Macaca mulatta: one gene and its partner. The main gene of each other region encodes a partner of the protein of the gene in region 2 in a complex. Links are inferred from orthologs where the notes say so. Each region holds a gene or a part of one and is shown on either strand. Other genes may lie near its edges.

Region 1 (3,570 bases), on a different chromosome or scaffold from region 2:
CAGAGCTTCGCCGCTGTTCGACAGGTCCAAACGTGAACGTCACCTCCACTCCTGCCGTATTGTTTGGGCTCACCCAGTTCTCCCCTGGAGGTGGCACTCCCTCTGTCCCTCCTGTGTGGAGACATGCATTGAAAATGACTGTCTCCAACAACCCGGGACTTTAAAGCGAGGCAAACAAACGCACACCAGGAACTTGTTCATCAAGTCTCAAAAACACCAGTATTACCAGTTGTATGATTCAAGGATTTATTAAGTCATACATGCAAAACATAATGCTAACTGCATTAGCAAAAGATCAATGTAAAAACACTCCACAATTCTGCAACTGTCAATTTAAAAAATCCTGTTGTCGTGGCTGAAAGGTTCCGCGTTGTATTCTTGCCGGTGAGTTAAGTTGTACAGAACATTGTCAGCACTAGCACAGTTTACAGAACCTCACAGACCCAAAGGAACATCATTAGGCAAAGCGACTACAGGAGGCGTGTGTCTGCGTGGGCGAGGTAAAGAGGGTCAGTATTGGTCAAGTGACAGTGTCAGTAATCTGGCAAGACAGTGATGTTAAGAAGGTTCATAGTTTAAGAATTATCTAAAATATTTTAAAAACTATAAAGCTGCAACACATGATTTTTACACCTAGTTACTAGAAAACTAAGGAAAGCACTTATTAGCTTTGAATAAAGTAACATGGAAAGCACTTTTACTCATCTACAAAAAAACCTTCTAATGCATTATCAGAAAGATTTTATAATACAAGGAGGCATATTGCTCAGTAAGAAGGGGTCCTATAAGAAAAGCACTTACTAAGTTAGCGACTAAGGGAACGACCAGTTTAAAGATGAATTAAATGCCCAATTTGGGGAGGGATGGCAGGTGTAAGAGAAAGGAAAAGCTTAAGAACATTTCCTGATAATACCAACCTTTCTTTCATCATCTACTGCATTTGACAGAAATTAACCTTTTAGAGTTTTTACCCGTGACACTTTTGTTCCTTGTACAATGTAGTGTAAATCTCCACTTCGTATTTTGTCAAAATACTGTCTTTGTCCTTTGATCACACACACCCCACCCGGCACACCCACAGCTAAACAGAATTCTTCATTAGAGGAAACACGAGTTCTGTTCAAAATCTCCGCAAGAGCTGGTCAGAAAACTCACTATGAAATCAAAAAGACTGATCCAAAGAGCTGAGCTGTTACACTCACTCCATTACAGTACAATGTTATGTCGTGAACATGGGCCGCTAAATCACTGGTGAGTTCAATGGCAACGCACCATTCGGGAGGCTGTTCTGCTTTACACATCTGAGAACTACTGAGCAAGTGTCTGCATCTCCTAACTGCAGAGGCTACAGTCTTCTCAAAGACGAAGGTCCTTACACAGTTTAGTGCTTGGTGTTCTTAGCACAACAATGCAGTGTAGTTCAGAAGGTATTTTGGCAACTCTTAATCTGAGCAAGAATAGGGTGGGCTTTTGAAAAATAAGGCTTTAAGAAGGTTTGTCATTTTAGGGCTAAATTTTAATAGAATGTGAGTCTGAACTCTTACATTTAGAACAAACAAAAACCTTCAAATTACTGATTGGTTCAAAATGGTTTTATGGAAAAATCAATCTGTAACAAAAAGTTGGCATTGAGTGCGAAGGCTCCACCGTTTTTTTTTTTTTTTTTGAGCAAAGCGTACAAAGGTTCCAAGGGACAGGACCAAGAACGAGGGGCTCAGACGTTTACAACAGCAGGCATTTTCTCTTCCTCTTCTTCACGGGAGGTGGGCAGAGGACTGCTCGGATCGCTTCGTCAAACACTGTCTTGAGGCCTCGCTGTGTGAGCGCCGAGCACTCCAGGTATTTCACAGCACCTACAGGAAAACACAACCACACAGCAGTGTACACTTGAGCCCACTCTCTTCTGATCACAACACCGGCGGGAGGCAGCTCCGGGGGCCTGGGCACTTTCTGCCGGCTCCCAGCCCTGCGTCCACCTTCCAACGCTGACATTAAGACCCAGAAGGCGATGCCAGCTGGTTCCCCAAGAGTACAACCAGGCCCTGAGTGGGAGACACACACCCTCCTTTCCCAGACTGGACTCCAGTCTCTGTCACTACAATAAAAGAGGTACAAGGCAGAGGAAAAACGCAGGATTCCATACCAATCTCCTTAGCCATGGCTAGACCCTGTGGATAGGTGATGGGAGTCAGCTTCTTCTCCTTCAGTTTCTCGATCGTGTCTTTATCATCCCTAAGATCAAGTTTAGTTCCCACTAGGATGATGGGAGTGTTGGGACAGTGGTGCCGCACCTCAGGATACCACTAGATGTGAAGAAGGAACAGAGGTTGTGATGTGCTCCTTTACAGACGCCCTTCACCTAAATCACACCCAGCCGGCGGCACTTGTGCCAGACACCTAACCTCAGGCACAGCCTCCCCACCGAGCCTTCATGTGGTTCCCACCTTCAATCTGAGCCTTGAGCCATAAGAAACATCTCAGGTGTTCCATGAGCAAGCTAGGACTCTGGATCATGGCCGGACAGAACCACGACCAGAGAGAATGGGCTCTACAACCGCAAGGGAAGAGGCGGAAGGGAAGAGAGTTCCTCCCAAAGCAAATAAACCACTTTGTTTTTGGTAAAACAAGTTCTTAGGGTCATCTGAGAAAATTCATCATCTGTTCAGAAACGAGAATAAACTACCTAGCCCAAGGTCTCAGGTCTGCCGCCATTATCCCCACTGAAAATGTCCCTACTGAAGGGCCTGTCTCGTCATTTTCACTAAGAAGTTTGTGAAAGAGACTGGAGTAGAAAGAAATGGTGGTTAGTTTTATTAGACCAATTCTGAGTGCCTCATTATTTTAATGAGGTCCAGGAAACTTCTGAACCAGAACCTGAAGCTTTAAAAATCCACATATTAGGCCAGGCACAGTGGCTCACATCTGAAATCCCAGCACTTTGGGAGTTTGAGGTGGGTGGGTCACTTGAGGCCAGCGGTTTGAGACCAGTCTGGGAAACATGGTGAAACCCCGTCTCTACTAAAAGTACAAAAATTAGCCAGGTGTGGTGGCGGGCGCCTGTAATCCCAGCTACTCAGGAGGCTGAGACAGGAGAATCGCTTGAACCGGGAGGTGGAGGTTGCAGTGAGCCAAGATCGTGCCACTGCACTCCAGCCTGGGTGACAGTGCAAGACTCCATCTCAAAAATAAATAAATAAAAATAAACTGCTGATGGCTCAGGCGCAGTGGCTCACACCCATAATCCCAGCACTTTGGGAGGCTGAAGTGGAAGGATCACTTCAGCCCAGGAGTTTGAGACCAGCCAGGGTGTACAAAACCAGCGCTACAAAAAATTTTTAAAGATTAGCCAGGCACAGCGGCGCACGTTTACTGTCCCAGCAACACAGGAACGGAGGCAGGAGAACTGCAGGAGAACTGTTTGAGCCCAGGAGCTCAAGGCTACAGTGAGCTCCGATGTCACCACCACACTCCAGCCTGGACAACAGGGTGAGACCCCTGTCTCAAAAGAATAAAAAACCCAATCATGTACTTAAGTAGCAAATTCCTATAACCAATTTAAATAACTGAAAA
Region 2 (3,570 bases):
CACTGCAACTTCTGCCTCCCTCGTTCAAGTGATTCTCCTGCCTCAGCATCCCATGTTGCTGGAATTACAGGCATGTGCCACCACACCCTGCTAATTTTTGTATTTTTAGTAGGGATGGGAGTTTCACCATGTTGGCCAGACTGGTCTGGAATTCCTGGCCTCAAGTGATCTGCTCACCTCAACCTCCCAAAAATGATGGGATTACAGGCATGAGCCACTGCGCCTGGCCACTTCTGAGTATTTAAAATTGACACAGGATTCCACTGACTGGGCAAGAATCTCCTCCCCTGTTCTACACTGAATACCAAGGGATCCAGTGACCTGGGCTGCGTTCCCTTCATGGCCTCTGGCTGAACTGAAGCTCAAGGGACTTCAGCAAGGCTTTCATCAGCTTTATTGTGAAGAAAGAGATCAAGGAATCTAGATCTGGAACATACCTGCCCCTGCTCAGAAAACCCGCCCTCTGCTGGTGCTGACCAATGCTCTTCACCATCACAGTTTCATTGCCACAGAGTTCCTATTTTCCTCAATGCGTTTTCCCCTCTTCCCTTCGCAAGGAATCTCTGTCTGCATTTCTAGATCCACTGTCATCCAGTTCATCTGAGCCCACCTCTCCAAGCCCAGTTTGGACAGAAAAAGGTTCACTCTCAGCGCCCTGCCTGTGTTCCCGAAGGAAACGCCTGCACATGAGCAGATGGGTAGAGCCAGGAGAGCCCAAACCTCAGACCCAGGCCCCACAGGGTTCCCCACTTGCCCCGTACTCAAGAAGAGGCTTTGTTAACAAGCCTTCCATAACTTGTGTTTCACCTTCCTGAGAGAATGGTTGAGGCTTCAGAGAGAGTATCAGCAGATCTCTTTAGAGACGTGAAGACTGGCATTTGTGGGGAGGCAGGAGAGTTAGCTTCAGAGGACTTGGGGTGAAGCCTGACACTGCCTTATTTCCTTACCAGCCATGGAACCCAGGACTGAGAGAGGGCAGGCAGATCCCTCAGCTGCACTGAGGGCCACTTGAAGGAGCCCTTTCAATAAGGCAGCTCAGCACACATAGTCTCTCGAATCGAATGCTTCACAGAAAGCTCTTGAGACCTAGGTCCATGGAGAAGGTCAGGATTGCCTCACCTGTGGTTGCAGAGGGGCAAACCCAGAGAAACTGTCATGATCCACTACAGACGCCACAACCTGAAATCAAGGACAGGAGGGTGTGAGGCTCTGCCAGCACGGTTTCCATTCTTCTGGCTCTCCCTCCTTGCTCATGCCCTAGACCGGTTCTCACTTGAGCCTGGTTTCAGACGTGGACAGTAACTGAGGATTAGATTCCTGATCCTCTGGATTAGGATTTCAGCAACTGAGGAAACGAGTATTCACCCAACCCCTGCTAACAGAGGCTTGCTTTCTCCTCTCTAAAAACAAATGTTTTTATTGAGGTGCAATTTGTGTAACGTCAAATTACCCTTTTTTGTTTTTTGTTTTGTTTTGTTTTGTTTTGAGACAGAGTCATGCTCTGTTGCCCAGGCTGGAGTGCAGTGGCGCAATCTCGGCTCACTGCAGCCTCCGCCTTCCAGGTTCAAGCGATTCTCCTGCCTCAGCCTCCCAAGTAGCTGGGACTACAGGCATGCACCGCAGCACCTGGCTAATTTTGTATTTTTAGTAGAGACGGGGTATCACCATGTTGACCAGCCTAGTCTTGAACTCCTGACCTCATGATTCACCTGCCTCGGCCTCCCAAAGTGCTGGGATTACAGGCGTGAGCCACGACGCCCGGCCAAGACCTGGATTTAGAAGAAGTGCAATTTAAGACATAGTCTAAACACAGGGCTGTGGAAGTAGGGAAACACTCCTCAGCCCACTAACACGTGAACTACAAGGAGCATTAATCCAAGAGGAACCCATGCTGATCTCTTTCCCCAACATATTCTTTCCATATTTGTTTTTATTATTTAGAAACAGAGTCTCACTCTGTTGCCCAGGCTAGAGTACAGTGGTGCAATCATAGTTCACTGTAGCCTTGAACTCCTGGGCTCAAGTGACCCTTTCGCCTCACAGCCTCTCCACTAGCTAGGCTGGTCTCAAACTCCTGGCCACAAGTGATCCTCCCACTTCAGCCTCCCAAAGCGCTAGGATTACAGGCATGAGCCACCCTGCCTGGCCTTCTCTTCACATTTAGTGAGCTCCTCATGGCTGTGTTTTCCCTCCACTGGCTCAGTCCCCAAGACTCAGCATCCTGTGGGGAACCCTATGGCTCTCACCCAGGGTCAAGCTGGAAGGGAGGAATGGGAGCAGCCTGGAGAAAATAAACTAGAAGTGGTTGCCTATCTTTCAGCCAAACCTCTGTCCTATAAACAAGTCTCTTGTTGCCATCCCAGGGACAGAGCCACAAGGAGGCTGCCCTCTTCTCAAGAGTCCCTCCCACCTTGCTCCACATGGCCCAGGCCACAGGAGACTCAGGGGACACCTACCGTCGCCTTGCCTAGGTAATCCTTCTTGGCCAGCTGAGCCACTTGTCTCTCATTTGGTCGAAACAGCCTGCCCACAGGGATCACCACTGGCTCGTACAGCTTCTGCTTCTGTAACACAGAAAACGTAGCATTTCCTTATCTGAAAATGGGGGTGACGATGCTTGTCCTGCCTCCCTCAGCGAATAGATGCAAGAATTTATTGAGATAACCACATAGAAGCACTTTTTCCAAATGAGTGTTGTCATTGCTCTAGGGTGTTAAGGTAGGAACCCCTGGTTTGAATACCACCTTCTGCTGTGAGGCCACGTGGACGTTGTTTGCTGCTATATGCCCAGCACCCTCTTTTCCCAGAGGAACTGCTCCTCTCCCTCTCTGTGTGGTGTCCGTGGGGTTCTCTAATGGTGTAGACGGCACCACCGCGACGAGGCTGGCCCGGGATTAAGTGAGGCTCATAACAGTGTTCCCTTGGATGAGTGTCTGCTGACGAGGATAGGCATATAAACACTGACTTGAGTCCTCTTCTCTGTGTTTTAAAAATCGGATTTAAAGCTAGCCTTATTCACAAATATGCTTGAACGATGGCTAATTTTTATCACTCATTCACATAATCAAAACATTTTGTGGGCAGGCGTGGTGGCTCACCCCTATAATTCCTACACTTTGGGAGGCCAAGGTGGGCAGATCACCGGAGGTCAGCAGTTCGAGACCTGCGTGGCCAACATGGCAAAACCCCATCTCTATTAAAAATACAAAAATTAGCCAGGCATGGCGGCATGCACCTGTAATCCCAGCTACTTAGGAGGCTGAGGCAGGAGAATTGCTTGAACCCAGGAGGCGGAGGCTGCAGTGAGCCGAGATCACACCACTGTACTCCATGCTGGGCAACAGAGCGAGACTCCATCTCAAAACAAAACAAAACAAAACAAAACATTTTTGCTGAGAGCTGTTACGTGCCTAGCATTGTGCCAGGCTGTGAGGACTCAGTGGTGATCCAGCAGACATGGTGTCTGCCCTCTCAGTGCTTACAGTCTGTGCAGTGCCGCTCCAGCATCCAGTATCCTGTTCTGCATTGCCCAGGAGCCCCACTGCGAGGGCGGTGTGCTGCCAGGCCTCT

Evidence for each region. Proteins that work in one complex are often made in the same cells at the same time.
Region 1: NCF2 (region 2) and RAC1 share a complex: the UniProt entries of both Homo sapiens proteins name them as parts of the phagocyte NADPH oxidase complex. The link is inferred for Macaca mulatta from reciprocal best matches to the Homo sapiens genes NCF2 and RAC1.

Annotation. Positions count from the first base shown.
Region 1 is NC_133408.1:44,608,859-44,612,428, forward strand, and holds the end of RAC1 (ras-related C3 botulinum toxin substrate 1), read right to left. Parts: intron 2,304-3,570; coding exon 2,144-2,303; intron 1,854-2,143; coding exon 1,723-1,853; 3' UTR 233-1,722; downstream 1-232. UniProt on the Homo sapiens protein: Plasma membrane-associated small GTPase which cycles between active GTP-bound and inactive GDP-bound states.
Region 2 is NC_133406.1:41,052,838-41,056,407, forward strand, and holds part of NCF2 (neutrophil cytosol factor 2), read right to left. Parts: intron 2,565-3,570; coding exon 2,457-2,564; intron 1,180-2,456; coding exon 1,120-1,179; intron 1-1,119. UniProt on the Homo sapiens protein: Subunit of the phagocyte NADPH oxidase complex that mediates the transfer of electrons from cytosolic NADPH to O2 to produce the superoxide anion (O2(-)).